Arabidopsis thaliana: one gene and its partner. The protein of the gene in region 1 purifies or fractionates together with the protein of each later gene. This does not show direct contact. Each region holds a gene or a part of one and is shown on either strand. Other genes may lie near its edges. The genes, in order: AT4G24820 and RPN1A.

Evidence for each region.
Region 2: the proteins of AT4G24820 (region 1) and RPN1A purify together in Arabidopsis thaliana (affinity purification with mass spectrometry; 2 studies listed by BioGRID, with this or other methods). This does not show direct contact.

What each region holds. Positions count from the first base shown.
Region 1 is NC_003075.7:12,779,631-12,794,898, reverse strand, and holds AT4G24820 (26S proteasome regulatory subunit Rpn7), read left to right. Parts: upstream 1-2,176; 5' UTR 2,177-2,299; coding exon 2,300-2,438; intron 2,439-2,536; coding exon 2,537-2,651; intron 2,652-2,994; coding exon 2,995-3,085; intron 3,086-3,163; coding exon 3,164-3,309; intron 3,310-3,399; coding exon 3,400-3,619; intron 3,620-3,755; coding exon 3,756-3,864; intron 3,865-3,963; coding exon 3,964-4,132; intron 4,133-4,253; coding exon 4,254-4,428; 3' UTR 4,429-4,582; exon of another isoform or gene 4,583-4,830; intron 4,831-5,107; exon of another isoform or gene 5,108-5,300; coding exon of another isoform or gene 5,301-5,414; exon of another isoform or gene 5,415-5,531; coding exon of another isoform or gene 5,532-5,660; exon of another isoform or gene 5,661-5,848; 3' UTR 5,849-5,869; downstream 5,870-15,268. Other genes in the region: AT4G24830 (arginosuccinate synthase family), read left to right, coding at 67-249, 367-441, 531-716, 845-933, 1,262-1,814; AT4G24810 (Protein kinase superfamily protein), read left to right, coding at 5,301-5,414, 5,532-5,660, 5,891-6,085, 6,227-6,274, 6,354-6,482, 6,572-6,696, 6,888-6,998, 7,114-7,222 and 4 more; AT4G24805 (S-adenosyl-L-methionine-dependent methyltransferases superfamily protein), read right to left, coding at 8,841-9,584; ECIP1 (MA3 domain-containing protein), read right to left, coding at 9,997-11,805, 11,981-12,075, 12,232-12,436; AT4G24790 (AAA-type ATPase family protein), read right to left, coding at 13,554-13,631, 13,727-13,778, 13,872-14,298, 14,386-14,580, 14,680-14,856, 14,947-15,166, 15,253-15,268. UniProt on the Arabidopsis thaliana protein: Acts as a regulatory subunit of the 26S proteasome which is involved in the ATP-dependent degradation of ubiquitinated proteins.
Region 2 is NC_003071.7:8,853,482-8,870,527, reverse strand, and holds RPN1A (26S proteasome regulatory subunit S2 1A), read right to left. Parts: upstream 11,567-17,046; 5' UTR 11,318-11,566; coding exon 11,201-11,317; intron 10,881-11,200; coding exon 10,780-10,880; intron 10,641-10,779; coding exon 10,520-10,640; intron 10,442-10,519; coding exon 10,382-10,441; intron 10,283-10,381; coding exon 10,172-10,282; intron 9,969-10,171; coding exon 9,903-9,968; intron 9,821-9,902; coding exon 9,699-9,820; intron 9,556-9,698; coding exon 9,441-9,555; intron 9,287-9,440; coding exon 9,212-9,286; intron 8,783-9,211; coding exon 8,624-8,782; intron 8,528-8,623; coding exon 8,420-8,527; intron 8,349-8,419; coding exon 8,247-8,348; intron 8,154-8,246; coding exon 8,013-8,153; intron 7,925-8,012; coding exon 7,820-7,924; intron 7,738-7,819; coding exon 7,516-7,737; intron 7,424-7,515; coding exon 7,310-7,423; intron 7,231-7,309; coding exon 7,015-7,230; intron 6,915-7,014; coding exon 6,855-6,914; intron 6,766-6,854; coding exon 6,652-6,765; intron 6,560-6,651; and 9 more. Other genes in the region: AT2G20590 (Reticulon family protein), read left to right, coding at 1,362-1,824, 1,905-2,049, 2,125-2,199, 2,286-2,427, 2,514-2,583, 2,671-2,736, 2,868-2,990, 3,074-3,285; NFD6 (nuclear fusion defective 6), read right to left, coding at 4,720-4,870, 5,146-5,306; GPRI1 (GBF's pro-rich region-interacting factor 1), read right to left, coding at 13,006-13,161, 13,272-13,385, 13,484-13,525, 13,668-14,012, 14,091-14,231, 14,463-14,510, 14,578-15,042. UniProt on the Arabidopsis thaliana protein: Acts as a regulatory subunit of the 26 proteasome which is involved in the ATP-dependent degradation of ubiquitinated proteins. Required during embryogenesis. Required for optimal plant growth and stress responses. Required for innate immunity.

The DNA of each region.
Region 1 (15,268 bases):
AAATGAAGTTTTATGTTGTTGCAATCTGCTTATGTCTTCTCAACCTCTAAATACTTTGATGTGAAGGGCATAAAAGAGTTAGAGGGTTTAGAACAAAAGGCTAAGGCTAGTGGTGCTTCTCAGTTGGTCGTTAAGGATCTCACAGAGGAGTTTGTGAAAGATTTCATCTTCCCTTGTCTTAGAGCTGGTGCCATCTATGAACGAAAATACTTGCTTGGTACCTCCATGGCTCGACCTGTCATTGCTAAGGTAACATTTCGAATGGTTTTATATGATTGACTTGTGAGGACTACCCCCACTATTTCTAATATCTGGATATATCTTTTGGATTACATATTGTCACTAATACATTTTCTAAATGATTAGGCCATGGTTGATGTAGCAGCAGAGGTTGGAGCTGATGCCGTTGCACATGGGTGTACTGGAAAAGGAAATGACCAGGCAAGTACTTGGAATGTCTTGCTAATGCGTCACATTGGAAAACACGCATTGATTCTTACATTACTTTTTTGTACTGATTGATTGACCAGGTTCGGTTTGAGCTCACCTTCTTTTCATTAAACCCTGAACTTAAAGTTGTGGCACCATGGAGAGAATGGGAAATCCAAGGCCGAGAAGATGCTATTGAGTATGCAAAGAAGCATAATGTTCCCGTCCCAGTGACAAAGAAGTCCATTTACAGCCGGGACAGAAACCTGTGGCACCTTAGTCATGAGGTAAAGTAAAAGACAAGTGTTGGTTCGCATTTTTCTTTTGGATACAAATTGATCCAGTTTGTCACATTGCTCAGTTCCTAATAATGTGTCTCATGCTCTGATATCAAACTTATGTGTTTTGTTGAAAGGGTGATCTATTGGAAGATCCAGCAAACGAGCCAAAGAAAGATATGTACATGATGAGTGTGGATCCTGAAGATGCTCCTGATCAGCCTGAGTAAGTTGGAATTTCTTTGAGCCCTTGTGTTTAACTATGCACTGTAATTACCCCAAGGTGGTTTGTAGTGGATTATAGCTGTGTTGATAGTTTGAAAACTAAAGTTGAGTCAGTTAGCTACAGAGCTGAGGTTTAGGCAGAATGAGTTGGTGTGTTCAGGATTTGTTTATGGTTTGGGATTGGGAATCAGATCTAGAATAGAGAGTTCTCGTTATTAAAGTCTCTCAAAGGAGTTAACTGGTTTAGCTGCTATGCTATCAAATTTAGATACCAAGAGTAGGATTTTGCAATTTGCATCCTAACTTTTGATACTTACACACTTATACAGATACATCGAGATCGGGATAGAATCTGGACTTCCAGTGGCGCTGAACGGGAAGGCTCTGAGTCCAGCCACACTTCTGGCCGAGCTAAACACAATAGGAGGAAAGCACGGGATTGGGCGGATTGACATGGTTGAGAACCGTCTGGTTGGGATGAAATCACGAGGTGTGTATGAAACTCCTGGAGGCACTATCCTCTTTGCAGCTGTACAGGAACTAGAATCCCTCACTCTAGACAGAGAGAGTATTCAGGTAAAAGACACATTAGCACTGAAATATGCAGAGATGGTCTACGCAGGAAGATGGTTTGATCCGCTTAGGGAGTCCATGGACGCTTTCATGGAGAAGATAACCGAGACAACCACGGGATCTGTGACACTGAAGCTGTACAAAGGATCTGTGTCGGTTACAGGGCGTCAGAGTCCTAACAGTCTGTATAGACAGGACATATCTTCGTTTGAAGGGAGTGAGATCTACAACCAAGCGGATGCAGCCGGGTTTATTCGTCTTTACGGGCTTCCAATGAAAATTAGAGCTATGCTTAAGAAAATTAGCTAGAAATGGTTTTCATTCATGTCTTACTTGGAATTGAGAGCCTGACATTAGAACACATCCCTTATTGTGATGCGTCGTCATAGCTTCAGCTTCTTTCGAAATAATTCTATCATCTTTCTTCACTTTGGAAAAACTTGAGAAATTTAATAATGAGTGCCTCTTTCTTTTATGATTTCCATTGGAAAGAGATATAAAATATAAATATCCATTACTTGAATTCAACGATCTTAAGTTTAAATTATTTATAACGAGAATTTAAATGTAAATGTTTTTTACTTTTTTTTCTTATGGTAAAAATTCCAAATTTAAATGTAAAAAAAGATAAGGGTGTTTAAGGTAATGCGAAACTTATTTTTTTTTTACATACACAAAAAAAAAAAACCATCGGACCTGAAATCTTTGTAAGCTCTTCCTCCTTGCTCAAGCAAACCTCTTTTTATATATTTGCTCTCTCTCTCTCAGATCCGATTCAAGCTTTCCGATTTGCGATGGACGGTGGAGCGGAAGGATCTCAGCAGCCTCACCTTATTCTAGCCAACAAGCTCTTCCTCCTCACTCATCCAGATGTTCCAGACATCGAGAAAGTCCAGCTCAAGTCTGAGGTTTTGGATTTCATCAGATCCCATGGTTAAGCAGCTCCTTTTCTCTAATCAGTGAGAATTAGCTTAATATTTCTTCGAGATTTTATGTTCCTGATGTTTCGTTGGTGTTTTTATTTATTTTAGGTATGGCTCCTTTGTACGAAACCCTAATTGCCTCTTCGGTGCTGGATTTGGATCAAAGCTTGTTAGAGTCTATGCGGGCCGCTAATGAAGAGGAGCTTAAGAAGCTCGACGAGAAGTAAGTTTCCTTCAGTTTCTCACTTTTATTTGGCAGTGCTTTGAAATTCGAATTCTCGTATTAGTATTTTGGGTTAGATTGATGTAGGGGGACTGTAGCATTCTGGGTCTCAAATTGGATTCAGAATTGTGTTTGCAAAAGTCCACTATGAATTTTGGGAATCTCCATGTTCCTGTGGTAGCTGATGTAGCATGATGTCTTAGTATTCTTAGGGAGATAACCATTACCTAACCATTGGTTTCTGAGTCCATCTTGGCCTCCGCTTTAACTTTGTAGAAACTTCTGAACCAGTATGTTATCAGCCAAAGTTCTCTTACATATTCTTTTCTTTCACTTTTTTCAGGATTGCAGATGCAGAAGAAAATTTGGGTGAAAGTGAAGTTCGTGAAGCTCATCTTGCTAAGGCTCTGTATTTCATCAGGATTAGTGATAAGGTATGTGGCATATCAAAGTTGATAGTTATGGTAACTTCCGTGGATCGTGGCCATTAAATTTTTGTTTTGTAATCCTAGGAGAAAGCTTTGGAGCAGCTAAAACTCACTGAAGGGAAAACTGTTGCTGTTGGACAAAAAATGGACGTGGTGTTTTATACGTTACAACTTGCTTTTTTCTATATGGACTTTGATCTGGTATCAAAGAGCATTGACAAAGCAAAAAAGTAAATGTCAATTTGGCTGTATTTTGACTACTCTTCATGGATAGTGCAACTGAAATCCTTGAATTAACACTTTCCGTTTTCCCTTGCCAGATTGTTTGAAGAGGGTGGTGACTGGGAGAGGAAGAACCGGCTAAAGGTCTATGAAGGTTTGTACTGCATGTCCACCAGAAATTTTAAGAAGGCTGCCAGCTTATTCCTGGATTCTATATCAACCTTCACAACATATGAAATTTTTCCATATGAGACCTTCATATTCTACACCGTCCTGACAAGCATCATAACTTTGGACAGAGTTTCCCTTAAGCAAAAGGTATTTCTCAATGGCTCAGTCTTCCACTTAGAGTTGTCTAAACTTAGATAAAAACTTTTTAGTATGTCGACTTATTAAAATGATGTATATCCATGTAATTTGTTGAAATTCTTATCAAGTGCTACTAATTTGACAGGTCGTTGATGCACCTGAGATCTTAACCGTGCTTGGGAAGATTCCATTCCTTTCTGAGTTTCTGAACTCCTTGTATGAGTGCCAGTACAAGGCGTTTTTCTCAGCATTTGGTAAGTTCATTACAAGGACCAGAGGTCATACATCCGAATGCATGTTGCTTGGCTTTTGTCTGTATGTTTACTAACTTCATTGTCGGCTTATGTTCTCAGCTGGAATGGCGGTGCAGATAAAGTATGACCGTTACTTGTACCCGCATTTCCGGTTCTACATGAGGGAAGTCAGAACAGTGGTGTACTCTCAGTTTTTGGAATCTTACAAAAGTGTGACAGTTGAAGCAATGGCAAAGGCCTTTGGCGTTTCTGTCGATTTCATAGACCAGTAAGCACAATAATGAACGCTCTTTTGTATATTTATGTTTGCCACCTCTCTTTAGAAGCATACAAAAAAACGATAATACAAACTTAAATCTGACTTGAAATGTATTTTTTTTTTTATCCAGGGAGTTGTCGCGCTTCATTGCTGCTGGGAAGCTTCACTGTAAGATAGACAAGGTTGCAGGTGTTTTGGAGACAAACCGTCCTGATGCAAAGAATGCACTTTACCAGGCAACAATCAAGCAAGGGGATTTCTTGCTAAACCGAATCCAGAAGCTGTCTCGTGTGATCGATCTGTGAGCATGCTACATGTTTCTGTTTCACTCTTTCGTCAAGCTTTGCAACTTGGAAACTCCGAACGGTAGAATCTTAAGGTCTGAGAAACGATATGAACTTTGGATTTTGAGATGAATGGCTGTAGTTTCTTTCATCAACTCTAGTTGGTTTGTCAGTGGTGAATTTCCCAAGAACAAAGAGCAAGTTTAATCTCCAATGTTCATTTTATTCTTCCTCGCATATGGCTTTTGAATCTGTTGTTTTCATCGCATCTATCTAGTATCTAAGAGAAAACGACCACCATACCTCTTACAAAATAAAGCTTTTGTTTCACAAGGTGTATTAGTTGACCATATAGATATACCAAGAAAAATGCATTAGTACACTTCATAATCTGAATGGTTAGAATTGAACACAAATTAGATACATCTAAAGGACAGTCCTTGGTTGAACTTGTGAGAGATACATACACAGTAGTTGGTAACTTGGTATTTTGCAGATTCTTCTTCCACGGACGTCTGTTTAGTGAATTAGGTGAGATTCTTCACCATCACACTTATAGGATTTACAATTTGTTTCTTACTGTTTAGTAAGTTCCTTTTTTCCTAAATTTTTTGATATGGTCTGGGGTTAGTAACAAGACCATCATTGTAAACTACTTTAAGATTTGAGGAGATTAGTACCTTATCTTCTATTGCCTGCCTAATTATAACCAGTGACTCACAGTGAGTGTGACATAAGACAAACGGATTTTGTTTCCTTTACAATTTAACGAAACAGTAATTAACACTCTCGAATGGATTCGTAGAGAGCAGCAAACTCCACTCTGACGCCATACATAAACAATTCTTAACTTTATCCTCTCATCCTTATCACTCTTCCTCAAAACTTCGAAAATGCATGCGATCGATTTCAAAGAGATTCAGGAGAAGCTCTCTGATGGATTCCGGCCTTGGCAACGATCGTTTCAGTTCTGGGCTCGTGCCACTGATATCTACACCGGATACAAGGTTTCTCTTTGATTGATGGGTACTCCTTTCTTCTTCTTCATGTTTCGTTTTGTAATACATTTTTCTTATGATTTTCTGCAATTTTCTTTCAATCTGTGTCTTGTTCTGGGCTTTTAGGTATTTCAACTTCGTATGAACTTCGTCAAGGATGTTAATAAGCACGAGGAGATGTGGGAGAGACAACATGAACTTGCTGCTCATAAAGTTTATTCTATGTGCTCTGACCTTGGTGGTTTCTTCCTTAAGGTAATGGTGTGTTGAGACTGTTGTTGAGGTTTGTGATTACCAGAGGGGACTTCCACGTTTGGGATTGTTATGAATTACTCATCTTAAATCTTGTTGTAACAAAAAGTATGAGTTTTTTTTTTGTTTCTTTGATGAGAATAAAGGTTGTACATTTTACTCTTTGATTGTTCACAGTTGCTTATGATGAGTTTTTTTTTTTTTTTTTTACTTTTTTTCATTTTGTTCAATAGATTGCACAAATTCTAGGGAAACCTGACTTGGCTCCAGCTGCTTGGGTGAGAAAACTCGTCACTTTGTGTGATCAAGCTCCTGCCACACCATTTGATGCCGTTCGAGTTGTCCTGGAGAAAGAGTTAGGTAAAAGCATCGAACAAGTGTTTGAAACATTTGATGAGAAGCCTCTTGGCTCTGCTTCTATTGCTCAGGTACTACATTCTTCATCACTCATAGTTTCAGAACCTTTGTACAGTATTACCGTGCATGCTTATAAAATCAGATAAGATTATAGTTTGGTTAAGAAAGTCTCAATATATACTGTATTTCACTTTCTTTTTGCTTCTATCTAGGTACACCGAGCAAGAGTAAAGGGTGACAAGAGGGATGTTGTTGTAAAGGTGAGGAATAATGAGGAGAAAACTGAAATCTTCCTAGTCTACTTTTAATTGGTTTCTGAATGTGCTACGACATGTTTAGGTCCAACATCCTGGCGTTGAGAAGTTGATGATGGTTGATATCAGAAACTTGCAAATATTTGCATTATACATGCAGAAAACTGATATCAAATTTGACTTGTTCTCCATGACAAAGGAAATAGAGAAGCAGGTATATATCATTCTTTCTATATTTTGAGGGTATCTGGTAAGAACTTTATAGCCGCCAAGTCACTATCAGTCCTTGTTTTCATTTACTAGATTGGGTATGAATTCGACTTTAAAAGGGAGGCCAATGCAATGGAGAAGATCCGACGTTTTCTATATGATAACAATAGAAAGAGTCCTGTTCTGGTTCCCAGGGTGTTTCCAAATTTGGTGACCAGGTACTTATTCTTATATTAGCATTCTGGTTATCCCAATAATGTTTTAAGGCTTTTTAGGTTGTCCTGTTTCACTGATCAAGAATTATGGTTCCTGTCTTTTCGACATAGTCTCTTTCCATTCGAAAGTTCTTTAATTTTCGGTTATATTCACTAATGAGTGCTGATCAGAGGAATAATCATAATACGCACAGGAAGGTTCTGGTTATGGAATTCATGAACGGAATCCCGATCTTGAGCCTTGGTGATGAGATGGCAAAAAGAGGGATAAATCCTCATGGTAAAATGGCAGAGGCAGCAAAATTGTAAGCTCCTCCATTATCTCAGATAGGTTTTTGACTTTTTCCAATGGCATTGGCGGCTTTTAAAGCATTTGGATCTTGTCTAATGCTGCATTGGAAAATGTATTTTGTTTTCTAGCAATATACTACACAGTTTGTCCCAAGCATATGGCCAAATGATACTGAAGAGTGGTTTCTTTCATGCGGATCCACATCCTGGGAATATCTTGATTGGTAAAGGTTCAGAGGCAAGTCATCTTTTGTTTGTAGTTATTCTTTAGTAGTTTCTTAATTGACTTACTGTGGTCTTTTGATACGTTTTAGTACCGTCTATATATTTTGAGTTGTAATCTTTGTTTCCCGTCATCAGGTTGCACTGCTGGACTATGGTCAAGTGAAAGAACTCCCTGACCACCTGAGACTTGGTTATGCAAATTTGGTAATTGCCATCGCTGATAACAATGCGTCATTGGCGTTACAGAGCTTTAGGTGAAATAACTTTGTTATCATGATTATGGTTCTAATTGAAGCTGAAAATTGGTTAGTCACCTATCGGATTAGTGTGGCATATGATTATTACTTAGATGTTTCTGTGGTGTAAATTCAGGGAACTTGGTATAGCTACAGTAGCCAAGTGTAAGAATGAGCAACAAGAGCTTCTCCAGTTAGCAAAAACAATGTTCGACACAGAGATGCCTCCTGGTACGACAACTCTGCAACCTTTCTCAGAAGACTCTTCGATCAAAAAGATTTCGGTTGAGGTAAAAAAAGAAAACACATATTCAGTCAACAGTTGTGTGTGTTTTGAATATACTGCAAAAATTTGAGTGTGTTTGCTGGTTGTGGGTAGGCATTTCCAGAGGAACTCTTCTCTGTTCTTCGCACAGTAGTTCTGTTAAGAGGACTCAGCGTAGGGATTGGCATTAATTACTCCTGCGCTCAACACTGGAGGGCTATGGCAGAAGAGGCTTTGCATGCATCTGGAAGACTCTCAACAGGTTAAGACAATGAGCAACTCTTTTATAGTGATTTACCAAATACGTTTTTCTAATGGAAAATAAAATTTCAGGTAGAAAGCAGAAGCGTCGATGTAGTTCTCTTAGAAGGCTATACCCAGGGCCAAGAGAGAGTTAATAAAATCCCCTGCCTCTTGCAAATGATGCTCTCAGTCTTTAGTCTTTACATTATTTTCTGGATACAGCTAAGGCAGCAAGTTGTCTCTTACCTTAACCGGTTTAGTTGGTTTGAAACTTTGACTAGTGAGTACATCTTTATAAAAGTTTTGTCATTATAATGTCAGATTTGAGCACAAGGAGAGTTGCGTAAGTTTTAAAACTCTACTTTTGTGCTATTTGTGAGATACACCGACAAAGTTACATGGCAACTACTAGGAACTATAATAGTCAAATTTGTGAGAGTATCATCATCAAGAACCAGAAGTAGCTTTAAACCGCATTTGCAATATACATTTGGTTGTGGTTCGAACCCAAATTTGAGAATGAGTGAAAGAATGAATGAAATTCATTTATTTCCATGTCAACTTTTCAATAATCACAGAAAAAAAACAAAAATCCCTCACAACACACCTTAAAACTTGACCATCACTATCATGTTAATTCGATTTTCCATATTTTCGACAAATTTAACCAATGAAAATAAGGAAAAGACAAAGGTATTACATATTTATATCAGTAAAAAATAAAACTATAATTTATTTGATGTATACATTTGCAAGTGTATAATAAATGATAGAAAATGAAAATACAGTCCAAAAAAAGAAACAATTTGCTATCAACTTAACAACGAATCTATGTAATGAAATGAAACAAATTAAAACAAAACTACATTTATGAATCTTGAAGTGTTTTAGTTCATGTTCTTTCTAAAAACAATCTCAGTGTCAAGCCCAAACCCATCGATCTTCCTCATCTCCACAACCTTGGATCTCTTAAACAATTTCACCAATGGTTTCACACTAAGCAAATCGTTAGCCGAGTACTTATCCGTCTTCCCAGATATCGACACGTGTAACACACACACCCCTCCGGGCTTTAAAGTCCGTTCGATCTCCCCAACGAACTTCTCCGGGTAAAGCGCGTGATCGAACACGTTTGAGAATTCGAAATCGAATGTCTCTTCGTCGAACGGCTGCGCGTGGAAGTCACCTTTCACCACGAGAGGTGGTCGCGGAACCAGATCTATTCCGACGGAGTCTTCCACGCCGATCAATCTCAACGCCGCAACCTCTTGTCCAACCCGAGCACCGATCGAGAGAGCTTTTGATTGATTTGAGAGAAGACCGCGATCGCTGAGACGTCGGAAGAAAGTGGAGAACACACGAACTTTCCTGTCCCAGTCGCGCGTTGTCCATACCTTACGTAGCTTCGGGTTCTGAGTTTTGTTGAGCTGGTGTTTGATGTATGCTTCGTAGGAGGAGTATCCATGGTGACGGATCCGTATTCCTTCGTCGGCAACGGAGGTGACGGAGGAAGAGGAGGAGAGAGGACGGCGGAGGAATGTGGTGGGGAAGGCGAAGAGGAAGATGATGAGAAAAGAGAGGGAGAGGAAGAGAGAGAGTGTGAAGGGTAGTTTTGGTATTACGAATTTCATGTTAGCTTCGAGACTTCCCTTCCTTGTTGTCTCTGTGTGTACATCGAAGCATATATGGGAATTTATTTAATTAAAGAAATGATTAAAGTTTGGATCATAATTAGAAAAACACCAAATGCAAATAATATAGTTTGTTTTGTCTAATTGTCATCAAGGCATTATTATTGACTCTGAATTGAAACTTGATCCAATATAGCCCCAAAGTTCCGTTGGACTAAATTCAGAGCAATAAAAAGGTCCTCTGAAGAAAAAAGTTAAACATTCGTGAAAAGATAAGCTCCCTGGGCAGAATTCTCAAAGCCTAAAAGTGCAAAACAAAACAACCACAGGGATGCTCAAGAGAGAAAGAGACTTGTACATTCTATCAGTTTTTTTTAGTTCACACACCATTTGGGATATCTCCTCTTGATCTCTAGCCTACATTAGCATCTTCAGTTAGGGAAGTTAAAAACGACGACGAAACCCAACCATTCTTCTTCCCATACTCCACGTAGTCGTTGAATTTCTCCTTTGCGTTTGGGATGTCTAAAGCAAGATCTTCAAGTCCGTCTTTGACTCTTGTGAACCCTTTGGTCATCTGGTTTGTGGTTATGAGTCCTTCACTGAAACTCTCCTGCAGAAGATCCAGCATCATCTTGTCCTTCTTCTTCTCCATACCCATCACCAGTGCTTTCTTCACCACCTCATGGTTGAAGAAAGGCATGCCTAGCTCATGGATGCATTTGCATGCTTCTGATACCAGCCCTGAGCTTTCGTATTCCTCCAGGAGATTTGATATCTTGTCCTTTGCATCTTCCACTGCCCAACCGCTCCCACCTCCCCAGCATCTTAGAAGCCTCTCTCCTGCATGTCGAGCAAAGATGAGTGACCTAGCCATCTTCACGGTTTCAGTTCCGCTTGAGTTAGGGCGTAGTTTGCTACTGATCTCTTCCAGGTTAAAAGGTGCTAAAACATCATCGATCACAGCTCTAGCTAAGAACAGAGCAAGTTCGTTGGACGCATCCAGAATGTCAAGAGCTGTATCTTCTGCAGACTCCAGGAGCATGACGAAACCATCTGCAACATCTTCTGTGGTGAACATCTCGATGTGAAGAGATGAGAGAAGAACAGATGCCATTTCTTTCTCGTGATTCTTCCTGTCCAAAGCAAGTGTTATCAGCTTCTTTAGAAAAATTGGGTTGTACTCGGGTGCTCCTAAATCCTCAAGACTGCGTATGAGTTCTGGTATGTCATCAGAGTTGAAATACTCATGAATGATGGTCACAATGTCTTCCTTGAACCGCTTTAGTTTCTCATCCTCGTTCTGTTGTCGTCCACATTCACCAGAGGGATAACCAAACGAAGCATCAAGCCAACCACCTGAGACAGCTTTTGGCACAATCAAACCAAATTTGGTTCTAGCTGAAGGAATGTCAAGAGCAAGATCATCAAGGCTTTCTCTTAATCTTGAAAATCCCTTCACCATTTGACTAGAGCTTATCAGGTTTTCTGAAGCTGCTTCATTTAGCAGTTTCAATACAGGTGCTTCTGCTGCGTGGTTTTCCAAGGCAGTAACTAAGGCCCTCTTCACAACCTCATGGTGAAAGAAAGAAACACCCAACTCTCTTACGCAACGACATGCCTCATAAGTCTCTCCAGTCTCCACATATTCATTCAAAATGTCAGCAATCTTCTTCTTGACTTCCTCAACAGTGGTTCGAGTCTGTCCACCCCACCTTCTTTCTACTAGCTCAGCATGGTGTGCAGCTGATAGATAGCTTTTCTCTGCAGTTTGGACAACCTGGTAACCTTTAGAAGTTATTGGAAGTGCCTTGGCAGCCCTAGGAAGAAAAGCTGGAGGAAGTATGTCATCCACGACAGCACGTGCAAGGAACAAAGCAAGAACATTGACAGCATCAGGTATATCCACCACAAAGTCATCGGCTGACTCGAGCAGCAGGACAAATCCATCTCTTATCTGGTTCGGGTTAATGACATCAGCATACAATGCGGAAAGCAAAACCGAGGCCATTTCCTTCTCTTTGTCATGCCTGTCCATCGCTACCGAGACAAGCCGCTTGATGAAGTAGGGATGATATTCACTTGAACCAAGTTCAATGAGGTCAGCTGCTGCCACATCAACATCACCGGTGCTGAAGTATTCGTTAATGATGGAAGCTGCAGCTTTCTTGTAATCATCTAATGGGTCTGACAGAGTTGCACCAACAAGCTCGAATGGTTCCTATAAAACAAAAAAAAACACAAAGAGAGCTGAGACTGATGATCTCTAAAAAGTAACACACAATGGATAAATTTTCTACATCATCTGAACAGCAGATGGACAACAGAAACAGTTTTGTGCAAGTACTTTGGCAAGAAAATAATCAACCATCTAGTACGAAAGGTGCAGAAACTACCTCTCCACTGTCATAATTAGGATCATTCGGGTCAATGTGATAGTCTCCATCAGTGTCAATAAGTTTTCCCCAATTTCCTTTCCCACCACCTCCATCTGAAACAAAATTTATCAATCACCGCTACCCGAAGAACAAAGGAAGTATAAATATGCAATCTACACAATTTTCAGCTCCAAATTTGACTAAGAGCCATCCCTTGACACTTGATGGTTTAGAAACCCAAATCTAAACTGATAAAGGTAGTAACTGACCCTTCTTAGAGCGAATAGACCTTCCCGCATGAGACCTTCTGTGCTTCACAGCATTTGACGCACCAGAAGCTTTCCCACCACCAGATGGTTTAGGCAGATGCTCAAGTAAAACCGAGTGAGGTTTTTGTGAGGGTGGAAGATCATCTGCAGTCTGAGTTGCAACTTTCATCATCTCTCTCTGCTGATCCGTTAGGAAACCCTCCATCCTTGGCAATTACCCTAACAGTGAAACATCATCAAATCATTCCTTTAACAAACACATACCATACAATAAATATCAACCTAAAACCAAAACAGCATATAGCTAAAACCACAAGACACTGATGTGAAACGACATAAATGGAGATCTAAAATCACCAATCCATAATACAGAAGCCTATGCATCCCAAGGTTTCATCAAATTCTTCTACGTGTCATTCTTCACATATTTCTACAGCAATCAATCAATTAATCATTCCCGTGACTAAATGCCAAAACCAAAACATCGGAGAAATGTTTGAAACTCCAAGTACCAGTAACTGTTAATGTTCAAATCGCCTCGTCGTCAGCCAAACTATCCACAAAGCAGACCGTCGTACGGAAAAAGAGCAGGCGAGATCCGTGGTAAGAAGAAAGAGGACGGAGGCTAGATCGAAAAGAAGAACCCGAGTCTGAAGCTGCGTAAGCTATCCTGGAAAATAGTAGTAATGTTTGAGAGAAGATTGTTTGGAGAAGAAGATGGATTTGGGAATTTTGGGAGGAACAAAAAGCTTACAGAAATGGAGGCTGCTGATTCTCATCAAAGGTCTCATCATAAGGACTGTTGCCACGTGTTACTGTCTCAACGGTCACGATTGCTCGTTACATGTGCTGGCCTGTCCAAGAGAGATATCGATTAGGGTTATGGATTTAATTTTGGAGTTTTCCTACCAAAATAGTGAAACCAGATAATTTATAAATATCTCTCTGTCAATATCTTATCCCAAATTACTAAAACCTTATCCAAATTATGTTTCTAATTTCAAATCAGTTTATTGAAAAAATTAAACATTATCCACTTTTTGTAACAAAAAAGTTGAAGACTAATGTATTCACTTTATTCTGATTCGTTTTAATGAATGAGATAATTTGTGAAAACATAATGAGCTCAGTCAATAAAAGGGTCCAAAGACAGTAAAATTCAGGTCTGTTAAAGGAGTGATTAGTATATGCTAATCTAAAATATGGTCTTGAAACACATTTTGCAACTATACATTTTTGTGTCACATTGTCCTAAACAATGGGTTTGCTAAAACCTATTGGTTCCACTTCCACAAAATGGGTATTACCCTCATCGAGCTCCCTTAATTAGCTGCAGTGCTGCAGGGAAGGACTCGGCCGATAAGCCGTGAGCTCTTGCTGTTCTGTGTCTCGCTCTGACCCTATAAGACATGTATCATCATCACAAATTAGAAACACCAAAAAGGTACAGACAGAGATCTGAAACCGAATTCTTAGGCATAGTCGAGATGTTTACCTTGCCTAGGGGAGTCTTCTTCCAACACAACACATCAGTGTCATCTTCTGGCCTGCACAAAGTCAGAGGCAGAGTATACTTGAGTAGCTAGCCAAATCACAAAACAACTTACTTTTGAAATGAATAAATATGAACCATGTTTTACCTTTTTTCACCCGGAGGAATGTGTGGAGTACACATAGCAGAAGTTGCATCGCCTTGATCACTGGAACAGCTCATACGCGATGATGCATTGGCTGAAGAACGAACACTTCGAGCCCTCAAGACATTTCCTTGGCAACTTCTCAGAGAATTTGTAACTGCAGGCTTTTCAGATGCGCAGTCAGAGTCGGTTCTTGTAGTCAAATACGACTTGTGAAGCATTCTACGAGAACAACTGAAAAGTCCAAAGAAAAGACTTGCTGCTGCTTTAGCACTCTTTGGTGGAGAACACGCAGAGATAACAAGATTCATTTGGATCTCAACGTTGCATCCTAACACAGATTGGAACGAGTCTGCAATCAATTTCCATGATTTCTCGGCTCTTGCTACATGTTGAGGTGTGTAGAATTCTAACTCAGCTATTGCCACACCTGAAAAGAAAAAAGAATATGCATTTACTTATCTGAGACACAAGCCAAAGTAAAACTTTCAGACCATCTTTGGGAAATATAAGTTACCTTTGTCAACAGTAAGTGAAGTCAACCTTCCTCGTTTCCACAGAAATCTCTTTAGTGAATCAGAACAACACAAATCTGTAACCGTTTTCCACACAGATTCAACTGTTTCATTACAGTTTCTCTCTTGACCCTTCTCGGCATCTGATTTAATAACATCACCAGGACAACCTGATGATGTGCTGGAGAGCTCAACGTCTAGATACATGACCAAGGGTAAGTTATATATAGTTAGTAACCAAGACAACACGAAAAAGAAGCATGAAATAAAGGAAACGAGAATTTATGAATTAGGACCTTTGTTTATTTGGTTTCTTCCATTTTCATCTGTTGCAAAAGATGATGAGTCGGTGTTACTAAGTTGCAAAAGTGCCACAGTGAGCCAAGTTGTCTGGTTTTTCGATGCTCTCAAGTGTTTCTCAGCATCAGATAGTATCTTCAATGCATTTCTCAATTTCTGCATTTCTTCTTCAGCTATATATAGTAGAACAGTATATGATAAAGAGTGAGATCAGGTTTTAATTTGAAGCTGATATTCAAAGTAATCATCACTGGGGTGCTTACATGTATGCCTTGTAAGAAACCGAAGTCTGGTTGCTGAACTACTTTCTTGAGAGTTTCCAGCAATGATGTCCATAATGACATTAGCTAGCTGTGAAATAAGCTGCATTGGATCTATTTTGGATCTCATAAGTTCCCTCGCCCTTATAACCGTGTTTGAAGTATCAGAAGACATGGCAAGATCAAGCAGATCAAGCAATTCATCATCAGAAACAACCCCAATCTGCAGAATCAAAGAAATGTTGATCTTTCACTTCTAAACTATCTAATGTTTCCAAGACAAATATGAAGAAAGAAGTGTAAACTTACAAGCTTGTAGGCCAAA
Region 2 (17,046 bases), on another chromosome or scaffold:
ATAAAATGACATTATCTGTAAGCAATATTCCTTAGTTCTACTTTTTTGAACTCTAATTAAAATCGGATGATAAAAAAAAAAACATACTAGTATATTGCTTGAAATTGGCAAAAATAAACACTCCCATAGAATTATGCTTCGTTGGCGATTGGACAAGCGAACCAGTAACCGTTTCTCTTCTTTGGCCTCCATCTTTTCCGATTGGTTTAGGGCCGCCGGCACTTGTCGGCGGTTCCATTTCTTCTCTTTAGTTTGATTTTGCTTTTTGTTTTAATCTAAATAAAGTATTTGCTCTCAATTCTGGATTTCTAAATCCAAACTTCTTCTTCTTATTTGTAGTTTTAATTCACTTTTAGATCTGTAAGAAAAATCAGTTATGTATAGATTCCAAGTGTTTCTGTTCAACATACATGGTGGAAGATCTATGGATGTGAACATGAGCCTTTGGATGTGTTGGGTTTCTTACCGAAATGCAATTTCCGACGGCTACGCCGTATTTGTTCCGACATAATTTGTCGATTATATGTCAACTCTAACATGTATTGTTAGTTTTGTGTTAGTTTCCGGTGGTCATCGCGATCGTTTGGTGGCTTTCCGATGTTTGAAACAAATCTTCATAGATTTGTTGTGGAAACGGCGACCACCTTGGAAACCACCATGGAATCAAATCATAAGAACCTTGTATTTCTGGTCTTTGAAGAACGTCAACAAGAGAATCGAGATCATGGATTTATCATGGGCAACATTTACAACCAAAACAATGTCATTGTCTCACGCGGGTGATGGAAATAATTATATGGTTAGCGATGTAACTGATGGATCGCAACCTTTTGATTTTCGAAAAGTGTGTTGGAGTTTCATTAAAGAGATGATAGCCAAACAAGAAGATCAAATTAGACCGAAGACGAAGACGATCAAGGAAAATAACAGATTGATAACCCTGTTAGCGTGTAAGGCTTACCTACGAAAGGAAGCAATGTGTAATTTCACTTTTTCGATTATTTCGTTCAACTTAAGTATTGGTTGTATGGATTGTAGAGCTCTCACTTATATGCTTATTGGTATATTTGTAATCTCTTTTTAAGTTTAATAAATAAGACGTTAAAAAAAAAAAAAAAAACTCCCATAAGTTTTACGCCGTTAAAGAGAGACGGAGCGACGTTTGCTACGACCGTCAAGATTCAAATGGAATCTTTTTTAAGGAAAAACAAAAATTCCTCCAACGGCTATATCTGATCAGACATCTCTGTCTTCTTCTTGGATGCGGAAAAGGAAAAACCTTATTACTTGTTTGAGATTCTCAATTCAATTCTCTGAGATTCTTAAATTCAATTCTCTGAGATTTTGCCCTTTTCATAATAATGGAGTCTACGCCTCCTTATCACCGATCCAACACTAAATCAGCTTCGCGTCTCCAAGATTCTTCGAATCCTCCAAATCTCTCTCTTGATTTGGTTCTGTCGTCTCCCAATACTCCAAACCCATCATCACCTGTTCCTCTTCGCGATATCCTCCTCTTACCTCCTTCTCCACTTCGAAAATCGAGGACCCGTTTATCCGATCGACTCGAAATGACTTCTGAAGATGCTATGGCGGTGGTTCGGAAACGGGGCAAAGGGAAAGGAGGGCAAAAGAGTCTTTTAGCATCTCCGAGGAATCCCCGGAGATCGAGGCGAAGATCTGAAGCTGTGGAAGAGAAAGAAGCTAATTTGGTTATCGAAGAAATCGTAAAGCTTCCTCCTAGAAAGCGGAAGACTAATGGTCGACCTAAGAAGGATAAGCAAAGTTCAGCTCCTCCTCTTTGTTCTTCCTCAGATCTTCCAAGTACTCTTCTTTCTCTTATTATCTGCTTTATGTGTTTCTCTGCTTAATTCTGATTTGCTTGTGTGTTGGGTTTGGTGAAGATACATGTCAGAGCGATTTGAATCTGATTGGAGAGATTATAAGTGATTTGGTAATGTGGAGAGATGTTGCGAAATCGACTCTCTGGTTTGGTTTTGGATGTTTGTCTTTCCTATCTTCTTGCTTTGCCAAAGGAGTCAACTTTAGGTACCAAATATCTAGCTTGTGTTTGTAGGCTCAATTAGATTTGTGAAAGTCATGACCTTTTTCTTTGTTTTGAAGCGTTTTCTCGGCGGTTTCCAATCTCGGACTTGTGTTACTTTGCGGGTCCTTCTTGTCAAACACTCTTTGTCAAAGGTACATTTACTTCTGTGGTCTCTTTTGTTTGGCATTCTCCATAAGCTAATAGTTAGTGTGATCCTTCAATGTGTTGTTACTTTTAGGAAAAATGAAGACACAAAGAGAGCGTTCCATGTGAGTGAAGATGATGTCTTGCGCTCAGCTAGACGAGTGCTTCCTGCAACCAACTTTTTTATCTCGAAGACTAGTGAGCTTTTTTCAGGAGAACCATCAATGACACTCAAAGTAAACAAAATCAAATCAGTTTTGGTGATTGCTATGTGTTGGTGGTTTACTTGCCCTTTCATCTGCTGATTTTCTTTTTGTCACAGGTGACACCATTTCTGCTACTTGGAGCTGAGTATGGTCATCTCATAACACTGTGGAGGCTATCTGCATTTGGTAATTAACATTTGGAACATAAGCTGAAACATTGTTAAGCATGATAGGAATTGTGATGATGATATGTGTGTATGGTTACTGAAACAGGTTTCTTCCTCAGTTTCACCATCCCAAAGCTGTATTCATGTTACACGCATCAGATTAGCCAAAAAGGTGAAGAATAATGAATTGCACCCATTCACATATTGTCAATTGTGTTAGAATCAATAGTCAAGTGTTTGTAGATGTCTTTAACTGGTCCAATGGTTTAAATTCTTGAACTGGTTTGAGTTTCATTTGTGCAGTTGAAAGAGTGAAAACGAGAATAGGTGAAGCATGGGGAGTCTGCTCACACAAGAAGATCTTGGCTGGCTCTGCGGTGACAGCGTTTTGGAACTTGACGAGCATAAGAACCCGAATATTTGCAGGTAATTTACCTAACCAATGGTTGACAGAGTATTTGGTTTGCCTTGTATCAAAATATAACGTATACGTCTTTCATGTTCTGCAGTTTTTATCATCCTGGTGATATTTCGGTATAGGAGACAAAATCTACAGCTAACTCCCGAGGAAGTTGAGCCTGTTGAGAATGAGCAAGAAGAAGAAACACTCCCGCAGGAAGAAGAAACAGTTCCACAAGAAGAAGAAACAGTTCCACAAGAAGAAGAACAGACACAGCCATCAGAAGAGCGAGCTTTAGTGGTGGTGGTTGCAGAAACTTAAGGATCAAAGAAACTGTAGTGTTTGTACTTTGTATCAATCCACATTCAACAGAGATGTAATTCTATATCTCGAAAGGATCTGTTTTTTTAATATGAAAAATTAATGACAAAGAGATCCTTTAACAAAGCTGCCCATTCAAGTCGTGAATCTTTGGCAGAGAATACAATGTTTCATAAGATCCAAGGGACAAGAAGAAGAAACTTGAAACCTTCTTTCAAGTTTAAGGGTCGACAAGTTAATGTGCCAATTTGATTGCCAAATCTGCTACTTTTTCCCTACTTATTTTGATGAGATTCTTGATTATATATATATATATATATATATATATATATATATATATATATATATATATATATATATATATATATATATTTGGTAGAATCTTGATTATAATTTATAGTATTCAAACTCATGGATGTTTCCAAGTTTTAAATTAGTAGAAGTGATGCAATTTTGTTGAGTTTGTATGTTGATGTAATAGAAATCATAGAGATTTGATTCAAAAGATATTGGACATTTGTCTTTGATATGAAAACTAAAGACAAAGAGATGATTTGTGTTTGAACAGTACAACAATTATTCTTTGCCTAAATACTCTTAAACCTTCTCTCGCAATCAACAATCTCGCATTGGGTACGCGTAGACATCATCAAAAGTCCTCTTTGCAAGCTGATAAATTATACCAAACATCAGTTACTCGTCCAACCAATACAACATGTCTTACTTAATAGGCTGAAAACAAAGAAAAGCTCTCCAAGAAACTCAGAAACAAAATTAAGAGGGTTTTCGTTCCTAAGTTTTTCTAAAGAAGAAGGCTTTAAAAGGTAGAGGTTTTGTACATAAACTGTAGCTTCATTGTTCCTCTGGCTAACTCATCACACATCATCATTGCAAGCTGGGAGTATAAGACCAATCAGTAATAACTCAAATGCTATAACCAACAAGAAAAGAAGACACGTTTCCGGGTACATGTATTTTTTTTAAGAAGATATGTAAGAACCAGTTCTTTTAAAACACAATGCAGCATCAACCATTGCTTGATGTGTATCTAAAGCCTATCTTATTGCCTGAAACCCGTTCTAATCGTTTATATTATTTGCATGAAAACCCAGATCTTGGCTTCGTTGTCTCCATCTACACTTGTGTCAGCCTACAAGATCGAAAAACTAGACCAATTGAGCCGCTATCTCTTTACAACGTTAAGCAGAAAGACAACAACAACTGATCCAGTTTTTCGCCATAGCAACAACCAAAAAGAATCTACACTGATCGAGAAAGCTTCTTAAATGGCAAAATCTAAACTAGTTCTCTACCTATGTCTAATACAACAATCTAGAAAGCCAATACAGAAACAGCTCTCAAACACATTTCATCAATCAAACAAAGCATATCTCCACTCAATATTTAGTACATATTTAAGCCATTATTCAAGCATTACAAAATTGAAGGATGTGAGAAAGTACCGTCAGAGAGCCAGCCATAGGTTTGGCCAGAGATAGAAAGCTTTGAAGTCATTAGCGCTGAAGCTGTAGCCGAGTGATATGGTAACAATGACTCCACACAGAAGCTCAGTTCCACAGGATTTCTATTCACATCAAAAACAAACAAAAATGCAAATTCTTTTAAGTAATGTGATAAGAGAGTTTCACATTTAAAATCAACATCAAAATGCAAAATTTCATCTTTTTTACTTGTGAATAATCGATCTGGAAACATGATTAACGCAAAAATGTAATTTTTACATAGAGAAGTTCCTTCTTTTTTTTCACAATTCGATCGAATTTAACCCATTTCAAGCTTCAAGTAGCACAAAACTGTGAAATGAGCTCAAATAAGGAAATGGGTATGAGAGAGACTAACCGGAGAGGAGAAAGCAGTGGGCTTCTTCTGGCAGTGGCTCTAAACAATGGTGGAGCGGATTTCGCTTGAGAGGCGAAGCGGCCAGTAGAAGCAGCGGCGCTGCGTGAGGAAGCAGCTCGAAGCATCGATCTGGCACCGGAGAGGACGGCGGACGTGGCCATCAGGAGAGAGAATTGAAGAGAAGATCAAAAACTACGGCTGCGAGAGAGAAGAAGAGAGAATGCTGAAGCCTGAACTCCGATTACGATTACGGGAAATGATGATAAACCCTATAAACGCGATCTTAGTTTGGACGAAACCTTAGTCTTTTGTTATAAACGCGATCGCAACACTTTTGGGCCAAAGGAAAGCCCAATTTCATTTGTGCGTCTTTGAACGGCACTATGCAAGTGGCTAACATTTCTTCACTTTTTTTATGTGATCAAAGTAATTGGAAAATTTTATGGATCGTTATTTTTTAAACTGAGTCAATATTGGTTTTGGCAAGAATATGTGTCGACTTGGTGGCGATTAAAAAAAAAAAAAAAAAAAAGAGACTAAAGTTTATATAACTAAAAGCGTCAGGTCATACAAAGATCCCAAGATAATGAAACAAAGCTTAAACGGAGAGTAGAAAAACCATGAGATAATAGACGAAATAGTAAAACTAGTGACAACTGGCTGGAAGCAGAAGCTCTCTCTCTTCACTCCTCTCTGTAGTCTGGGTTCTCCTTTAAGATGATGAATCCTTCTAGTATTGGCGACAGAGGAATGTATCTGTTTGCCAGTTACAAATCCGAGTTTTATAATCAGACACCTAAGTAGGCAACATAAAGGGTACAAGGAAGAAAGGAAAAAGAATAACATACTTGTCCGTGGCTAGTTCGGCTCTCTCTCCAGCAGCCAGGAGAACAGGTGTGGAGTGTGTCTGGAAACCGGTTATGGTCTTGGGCCGACCCGCTTGCCCAACCACATCAACTGCTTGTCCTACCCGCACTGGCACTGACAGTGGCTTCAGGTTTTCATCCACTGTCAACATCATCCTTGGCTATACATTTTTTTAACAAAATTTGATTAAATATCAAATCATAGCAAGTTCATCAGACCTAACTAACAAGAGGGAGAAACACAGGACAGAAGTTGAACTCACTTGCATCGCCAAAACGAGGAAGTACAGCACATAATGGTACTTCCCGAGTATGATTGGTTTCATGTCAAGGCATGCATGCAAAAGTGTCACTATACCAGCAAGTGCGGTTCTGCATAAATAAGGTCCGCATGAGAAACCTTTGAACATCCAACTATCAAAAAAGATTTGGTTCTATTGGTGACAAAAAGAATGAACTTACGGCGATAGCAAGAACCGTTCAGAGTGGAAGGGGCTGAGTGTCAAGAGACCCTTTCCCATGTGCACAAGCCCTTGAGCAATACGCACCTGCATAATGACTTACCAAGTTAGTTACAATAATTCCAACAAGAACAACAGCTTACCGCAGGGTACAGAAACCAAAATGAGGAACACATTACACAGAAGAGAAGACTCATGTCTTTGTAATAATAGCTGGAGAGGTTCCGAAGCATCCCGGCTATCCTTGCGTTATTAGTTCCAGCGCCAATCAGTCCCAATGATATAATTGCTGACTGTACGAGTCAAAAGAAAGATCAGTCCTCTCTCAATACTATTCAGCTAAATAATATGGGACAGGCTATGAAGCGAAATGATTGCTAACCATGGCAACTTCCGAATCTGTGTCATGGCTAAGCCGGCTCAAGGTGTCCATTACAGTCACCTGGAATTGTGGGAAAAATATTAAAAACCCAGTATTACTCTAGACGCCCACTAATAATTGTAAGCAGGTGCAGTAAAACTACATTTACAAAAGTATTTACCTTTGGATTGGATATACAAAGGAGACCAAGGGCCAAAGGCACAGCACGCCGAATGTTTTGTTCTCCGTATTGTAGCATCCGCTCCAGAGAACGGATCTCCATATCAACTCCCAGTTCTTCAGACATAGCAACCATTGCTAACCCAAGCACAGCTGGACCCTGGTGGATGTCACCTTTCTCAAGATGCTCGCCACACTGAGCAAGAAGGTCTTGTACCTGAAAATATAAGTAGGAGTCAACAACTAAACAAGTAATGAATTATGTCACTCAACCACCAGCACAATTGATTAGATACCTTTAGGACATTTCCAGTTCCAGCATAAGCACAAGAAAGAAGTGTCATATCACAATACTTTCTAATCTTCTCATTGAAGGTCTTCGAAACTTCAGCTGTAGCCTCTACACTTTCCTGGTAGATATTGGAACAAGTTGATGTTGGTCAAGCAATGCAAATAATGATATACGAACAAAGAGCGAGATTATGTAAAACACATTGCTAACCTGTTTGCCCAGGTATAGAAGTCCAAGACCAAGTGGCAAGAAACGAGTGAGGGCATCACCCAGTTCTGCCTCACTTCGATCCATCAAAGCAAATATAATAGACTGGGCTACTTCTTCGTTACAGGAACCAACATATATCATTCCCAAAGAAAGTGAAGCAAATGCAATCACATCAAGAGGCGCTTTTGCATCATTCAGTATCGGGGACAATTTGTTTCGAATCTGTTGAAACAGTGTACGTGTTAAAGTTTTGTGAACACCCGAAACATTCAAGTAGTAATATGGGAAAGAATATAACAAGTACCTGGTCATTTTGGGAACCTGCGTATGAAATTCCAAGACCCATGATAGCACCGATTCTGACAGATGAATCCTCTTTGTCTATATAGTCTCCAAGAAGTGCCAATGCCTGAGAAATAAGGCTGAGTAAGATGGAAGAGTGGCTGCAAATATTAGCACAAATGGTCCCAGCAAAATCAAACACGACAGCAACTCACAGGATCACAATCGTTCTTAATGCCACAATTTACAATCCCAACTCCCAGCAGTGCTCCAGCAATGATAGGATTATCATTACTATGGAAATATTTGTCGAGTTGGGAAAGTCCAGAGTCCACATCCCACAGTTGAATCATACCCTATATGATAGGGAAACAAAAAGATCTGGTTACAATTCTTACTTCCATGATCTGAGCACAGTAAATAAATTCATCAAATAAGAAAAAGTATACCAGACTAGCAGCTGCACTAGTCTTGCCATGTTCTTTATTTTTGAAGAGCCAGTTTCCAGAAGATCCGGTGGTTGAGTCTGAAGGTACTGTCATTAGTTTGTCCTGCGATAAGCAAATATATTAAGAGGACACGTCTTCCACTAGATCTATTTTATTATAATCTGCAACCATACCTGACCAAAACCAGCATTTACGAATGCATTGACAAAGGTAGCAGCCAAATTCTGTCTAGCAGAATCCACGCTTGCACCGGAGCTAGCCCTGCCGTCGAGTAAGTGAGCCTATAAAATTCAAAAAGGGCAGGTCAAAGACTGAGGGAAACATAATTTGTAACTAAATAAATGAGTAGCAAGCCTAACACATTAAAACTGATTTACCTTGTAGATGTCTTCAGGCGTTTTGGCCTCCATGACCTCAATATCCCTTGCAAGGGTCAGATATCCTTCACTTAACTTAGTGTTGTTAACAATATCCTGTAGGGCTTCCCGGTCATCATCATCTGCAACCATCTCATCGTCAAGTTCAAAGGTTATACCCTGCAGGGAGGCATACGACGAGAGGAGAAGTATAAGAAAGTATGTCAATCGGGTATTGTGTCTCTAAATGAATGGAAATTTTAAACAGCGATGCAGCAGTTAATCTGTGTGTGCCTTAGAAGAGAATAGGAGGAGGCCAGTGTCGCTAAAGAATGAGGTCTTCCCAGAAAAACAATACAAAATTGGACTAAAAATAATGTTCAAGAAACATATTTAAATTCCCTCTAGATCATGCTGAATTACAACTACAAACTATGTTCTCATTTTTTTTCTGCTAACTTTATGTAACAGCTGGAAAGTAAAATACAATCGAATAAAAGCACAACCAACTATCAAAGCATATAGGAGTAAAGATCCAAATCAAAACATACATACCGAAAAGAAAGAATGAGATAGAATTGTAGTAAAGTAGAGATAGTTAGGACTTACATGACGAGCAATCATGTAGCAGAACTGTTTCTTCTTCAGCAGATCCGTACATGAGGTAAATACTTGTTTAACATACTGCAATACAGAAAATACACCATACAGCACATTAAATATCAAAAATGTCTACGCAAATACTCGAAATAAAACATAGAGGATTGATTTTTCCAAATGCTTCACACGCAGAAAGAATGAAATGAAACTACGTTCTATAGAAAGATTAAAGTCCTACCTGCGTGTTATCAAGAAATAGTGCAATCTGCAGAGCGTTTGGATACTCTTCAAACTTCATGTAAATCATGTAGGAAATATCTAGAACCAACATGTCATCTGGTCCAGGAAGGTACCTGAAAATTCAAATATATAAGACGTCAGAGAGATTTTTGGAAGCAAATATAAACAAAGCTCACCACTTGTTTCTACAAGATCAGTTCAAATAACAAAGAGTGAGGAAAAATAAAATAAATAGGATTGACTATGTTTAAAGTACCTAGCTGCACTTGTGAGATAGTTGCATGTCCTCTTGAAATTTGTTTTGTCTACATGCTCAAGTAAGAGATCAAGATCCTCAACATCCATTAAAAGATCAACAGCTTCGGTTTCTGCATTATGCTGCAAGGAGTAAATGAAATCGTTTAGAAATAAATAAATCGCAGAGGTGCTAATCTCAAGCCCTATTAGTTTAGGAATTCACCTTCATGTGAAAAGCAACAATTTGTTGCACAAGCTCCATTAAATCGTCAATAGAGGCCTCCTCACTCTGAGATAATGAACAGGTAGATAAATATGACTCAGTGACCTTTCTCATTGAATAAGACACATTTAGTCATTCCTCAAAACTCCAACCATCAGAATTCAGAAGGATAAACCCAAACACAACTTCCAACAATCTTAGAATATCTGCACAAGTCCTAGGACGAGAAACTGAATTTCCAAAGACAAAATCGAAAATTGATTTCTAACCTGACGCTTTGTATACTCTTGTGCAATCTCTCCAGCTAAATTCCTGACATATTCATGACCCCACGATCCAATGTCACCCTCTGTTCCAATCAATCTAAACCTTAAGCTTTCCTGGAATTATATTGTAAAAGAAAGTGATTAGCAGTTCAAAGTATGCCTTAAAAAATACAAATCAGAATACAAAGTATGCCCAAGTCAGTAGAAGCATACCCTTTCACCATCTGCAGACATGGTAAGGGCCAGGACAGACAGGATATCGGACAGGTACTTCTGCAAACATAGCAAATGTAATTTTTAAGCCATACCAATATAAGAATTGTTAATGACTTGAAATCAATGATGACATACTTTGAGATCAGAATCAGCCATTGTTTCATGAAACGCTTTAAGAGTTCCATAATGGGGACGCAGAAACTTTAGTGGTTTGGGAACTGAAGTCATGGAACTTGTTGAAGCTCGGATTTCCTGCCTACAAAGCCAAATAAAACTCTAATTAAAAACATAAACATGTACACCAAGAGCAGAGAGAAAGAAAAAAAGCTTTATAAGTTGTACAAGCTTCAGTGGCAATAATCTGAAAACCCGAAGCTGATCAAGTCAAGAATTACCTCATGCTCTCAAGGGCAGCCTTCTGCAATTCCGGATTAGGATCCTGAACCCTCTCAACATAGAGCTCAAGGTTCTGCTTTAGTTCCAAGTCCTCTTCAGACTACAATCACAACCCAATGTAAGTCGAGTCATTAAGAAAGTGACCATATACAAACAAAAAAAACTTTCCTCACATCACAAGTTAACAACTTTCTAATCCGGCTAGTCTAATGACGAACAAAACACTCACTTTGCCAGATTAAAAACCCTAATTCTATAACACCCCTACTTCAACTCGATCGAGACTCCAATTAAAAACCTAACTGCAGATCTTACAGATTTGAAATTAATTCGTTTCTGATGAACCCAGATACTAAACACGACACACAATGTCGAAAAAGGATTCGATAAATCAAAAAACCGAGAAAGAAGAAACTTTACCAAATCCTCATCCTTTTTCTCGTCCTTCTTCTTGGGATCCTTAGACGGAACCTTCAAGGTAGCTTCATCTTTCTTCGCACCGCCTCCGACACTGTTGGGATCCTGAGTTGGAGCCATCTCTACAGTAACAGATCAATCTAAGGAACCCCTTGTAAAAAGCTTGAAATTTGAACACTCAAACGAATCGAGAAGCTTGTGCTTGTGCTATCGAAAACTCTCTGATTGCAGGAATTAAAACAAAAAAAACTCTTCTGCAACTCTCTAATCAAAGCACAATAATATATGAAGAAGAATCTAAATATTGGAATCGGAGAAGATAACCCCTCGATCAAGATTTCTACACTATAGAATCAATCAGCCCATTACAACCTCTTTTTCAATGTCACAGCCCATTAACCGTATTGGGCTCATTTAGTGAGTTCTTCTTACATGGGCCCACATGTCTAAAATTATTTATTCATCATATTTCTGTATGGTTGAACAAACATAATTTATCCTTATGACAGTTAATTTATTTCACGTTTGAAGAGGATTTCGACATATTTTCATTCTCTTTTCGACCGGTCGCAGACAAAACTGCAAGACAAGCTTTTCTTTCACAACCTAGTGAAGTCATAGTTTCGTCTAATTCACTGCATTGGATCTGGTCATTAGTAAAATTGTTGAAATATCTCATGATCCTTGTAAATTCAATATTGACAATTTTTGACCATCTATCTCATGGTAATTTAGTAGTTGAAATCTTCACCAAAGAGTTTATAGAGACCATGGTTTTTTGTTATTTTCACTATGATTTTAGTAAAAGTTAGCCAATGTAGATGTAGGCACCAAAAACTAGTGTGCATTTCGATTTGGAATGTCCGGTTAGAACAAAAAAAAATGATTTGTCTTCATTATCTTCGACCAAAGTCCTTTAAATTTTTGAATTTGAACCGAGTATTCATTTTGGTTATATTGGATTTTAATACCATGCATGTAGGGTTTGAATATATTTACTTTTGCCTATAAATACGTACTTATAAAAAGCATATGTGTACAAGTGTGAGTGGAAAATGAGATGCTAGTAATAGTATCCGCATGTATATGAATTATCAATTATGAAGAGAGAGGGACCATTCAAATTTGAAGGAGACGAGAGAGAGAGAGAGAGAGTGGTCACAATTGGAGAAAGAAGAGGTCGTTACGTTGGATTTTACGTTGCCTCCATGCACTTCCTTCTCCTCTTATCTCGTGGTCCTCTCCCTCTCTCCTCATTATTATTTTATGCCATTGTTCTCTCAATCCCAACAATACGTTTTTATACGGTAATATATGCATGGTAAACACACAATTTCATTACTCATTTTTCACCATATATAACCGGCTGGTATTTTTAAGTATAAGTTATGTTTATAAATTATAAGTGTATATATACTCGTGAGGTTGTCCTCTTTATAATCAATTGGTCGTCGTTTGCGACTTTGCTTTGAACGCTTCCAATTTCCATATGATCATTTGATATGGAAATTTGTTGTGTTATGTTTTATAAAAAAACTTTATATAAGCAATCAAGTTCTAAATCACCAATGGTTAGAGAAAATATAGGTAATTTATTTGCGTTAATAGAGCTAGAGTGTACTTAGCACCCTAGATACATATGAAAAGGGTCTCCTTATTAGTCACATGGGACGATTAAGTAAAGAGTAACTCTTAACACAACAAGGGTCAAAACAAAAACAACCCTTGGAAAAATAAAAGTACAATAATTGAAAGACATGTCGTCGAATTTTTGTTTGGTTCTCGCTTGCCTACGGATCTTGTGCGTTTCAGGCACAAGACGCGGTCGGAGGAACCTCAGAGACACCGTGACGGTGAAGCTCTGTCATAACACCGTCAACAGCCGGCGGATTTAATCCCAACGGAAGTGGCAGCCATGGCCTCGTCAATACATCTCCTATGGCTGCATCCACGCTCTCTTTTGACTGTTCCATTTATAATATATATACACAAAAAGTCAAAAATACATAATTACATAATCAAATGCGAAAAGTCAAAACTCGACAACAATCAATTCATTATATTAGATTCTTACCGGATGTAAGTCTACCGGAGGACGAGCACCACCAAATCCAAGATTTGGTTTGTACATCGTGTGATGCGGCGGCAGAGCATGCGGGATTCCGGCAACTGGCGGTGCTCTAAATCTCTATACAATTACCAATCAAAAATACGATTTAAAACATATATATAGAAACAAAAAGGGGTATACATACGGAAACAATCTTATAAATGTTGGTTCATTACCGTAGCTACGGTCGGTAAATACGGAGTCGTCCCGTTATGCATCTACATGCAAAAATGCTGGTTAGAAAGACAAGCATATGATAAAAATACTCGGTGTCATTCAGCTTTCATAATGTTAAATACTATGATGAAAACAAATATGATAAAGAGCTAAAGTAAAGGTTTCATAAATGTGGGAACTTACTGGATGCCAATAGGGAGAATCGGAGACCCAAAACGGCGGATTAGGCATGGCGGTAGAAGGCGGAGGTAAGTGTTTGGGCCACACATGCGGCATAATGGACTGATCAACCGTGGGATGTCCCCACACATGCAGGGGCCTAAAATGATGGTGGTGGACAGGTGGCGGTGCAACAGCCACGGGTGGTGGTGGTGGAAACCCGAGAGTGGGTGCCGGTGCAAGCCATCCATTTTTAGTCCGACCATTAAGATTAGCACCGGTGTCTACTCCATAGATATGCCTTTTGCGTGTCCAATTAGCCGCTTCGGCCTCACGAGCTAGCAAATGTTTCCGATGAGACCTATATTTCTAGTATACCAAATAACAGCAACATGTTAATTTGGATGGTTAATATTAGAGAATGAAATTGAAAAGAAATATACTAACTTGGAGGTGACTAGCAACGTTGTGACGAGTGAGACAATGGACTCCCATAAGCTCCAGAATTCGAGAAGGAACAGCTTTGTCCACTCCTAACTGTTCCACTGCCTCCACGAATCTCCTGTGTAGCTCTGGTGTCCAATCCACCTTCACACACATCCCAACATATATATAACCACCATCTTCATTATTTTTTCAATACTTTTTCACATACTATATAAAATTCACAATTAGCAGCTGACTATTTTACATAATTTGAAAGAAAAAAAGTCTTATAGAGATGCACGTGATGTCTTTACACGAGTCTTGTAAACATGACTGAAATATGAAAAATTTAGAAGATTTAGCAAGAAAATGAATTCTAAACGAATAATCCACTTTTAAAAAAAATACGAATCCATTATAGACCTGTTCATTTAATCGAGTCTAGCTAGGGTTTTTATTCATATAAGACTAATGTTTTATATATAGATGATATGATTAAAATCATTACCTTCACCTTTCTCTTCCCTTCGTTGTTACTGATCCGATTGTTCTTGGAAGAAGCTGAAGAGGAATACTTCCTTTTCCGGTCACTGTCACCGTCATAAGTCACCGTCTCCGCCGCAACATCGTCTCTTTTGCTTACGACTTCTTCACCTTTCCCCGAACTACCCTTAGTAGTCTCCCCTTGACTATCAGTCTTATCCGACGTCGTAGTAATCGTTGAAGAAGCGTTCATGTGATTGGAGAAATCCCCGGATAAGATCTCAGGGTCGATCTCCAAGTCAGGAAGCACATCTCCGGCCACACCGAATATATCGTCGAAGTCAATGATGTCAAGAAGATCACCGTGGTCAGCGAAATCCGGAAACTCCTCCTCCTCCTCCGGGTTTATAATCGTGAATCCACACGACGTATCAAGAAACTCTGACGCTCCGTCGCAACCATCTCTTGTCGCCGGAGACAGAGCTAACATCGATCAATCTTCACTTGTAGATCCAAATATAATCGTAGATAGAGGTTTATGTATGTTGTAGATAGGCTAGACTTAATTAGAATAGAGAGCAAGACATGTTTTGATATCCAAAGTAAGTCTCTTTCTTCTCCCTTAAAGGCAAATATAATTCATTTTCATTTATATGCTATATATAGAGAGAGACAGAAAGAAATCCATCACAAAAATATATATATATATATATACTAGATAAGGCCCGCCTATTGAGGCGGGTGTACCCGAAATTTTCAAATACTCGAACAGATCTAAACTTCAAAACCCAAAAAACTCGAACCTGAACCCGAATACGTATCCAAACATATTTCAAATATAAATATATATTAGTTATATTTATACTTATATATAGAAAATATTAGGATTTTTTGGATATTTTAATTATTTTGTGTATTTTTAGATATATTCAAGCAAAACTACTCGTGTTGTTTTGGGAATTTTTGAAATTTTCAAGTAATTTAATAGATTTGCACACAAAATTTGATATTTCAATATATAAATAAACTCAAACCCACCCAAACCGAACCCGACCCGAAATCTTAAATTACCCGAACGGGTCCTAAACTTCTAAACCCGAAAACCCGAACCCAAAATACCCGACCCGAATACCCAAACGCCTAGGGCTAATAATTAATAAAAAAAAGAAATCCACAAAATATTTAGAAACCAAACATTGTTGAAAATATATTTTCTATATATGCCGTAATCTCGTAAGTTAATTTTACATCATGCAAATTAATATTAAATGAGTTAAAATTAATAAATGAAAATAATTGAAAAGTTAAATCCTATAAGATAAGCTATTTTTCTCAAAATGTTCTATTTTCACTTATGATTACATGAGTTAAAGACAAATTTGTTAATTTTCCTTTTGTTGAATAAATGTTAATTGTTTATAAATATATAGACATATAAATTAGTATATGTAAATTTGTTTACTTTTTAAGATTTTCTATTTAATTTTAGAGAATAAAAAAGTTAAATTTTGAATGATACATGTAAACATCTGATCGTTTGACTTGACACGTGACACAATCTTATGAGTTAGCAACTTTAAAAACCATACTTTATATAATAAGATATATATATATATATATGCCTAGTTCTAAATGTGGTAAATAAAACATAAATTTTTTTTTTTTTACTGTTTAGATAAACATAAAATATCGACAACAAGCTCAAACATATATTTAGGCAACTCTTTTAGCGAATCTTTTTCCCTGTTTTGTTGGTAACACAAAAATTTAAGTGAAGTTGTTGCCAAACTGGATCAGAGCCACAACTTTAAAGTTCAATATCTGATTGTCGCATTTGTCCCTTTACCGTTTTGGTATCTTGGTTTTGGTCTGTCCCAACATTATTGATCAATCGGATGGCATTTCAACGGTTCTATGTCACTATGTAAAAGGTCTATGCTGGTCAACTTACATGTAGATGGATGTAAATAATCAATCCATCTACCGTATCACATACCCCTTATATATTGACGTGAATGAGGCTCGCAAATTAAGCTGTGGAAGATGCTCTTATAAAAAAGGACAGAATTGTCTCATTAGGTATAAGTGGACATGCACGTCCTATGGGTCCTCAAGAGCTACAATAATTGTTGTTGCTCGTTTCCACATCACATTTTTTGAATCGAATTCACGTTCACAATATTCGTACGGCATATATATATATACATCGTGAAGGAAGAAAATTGTAAGAAATTCCACATACTTTCAGGCCCTTATAGGCTAACACAACTCTATATATATTGAATGAGGGTTTTCTCAAAGTCAAGTACTAGAGTTCCAAATATTTGCTAGATATATGCGTAGGCTCCTTTCTATAAATGATGGAGTAATTTATAGTTGAATATTTGAGTGGTTTTGTTGCTACCATTTATGAGATGATCTGATGATACTTTTTAATAATGACTTAATCTTCTATATAACTGATTTGGTTTAAGATAAAGAAAAGGATAAAGAT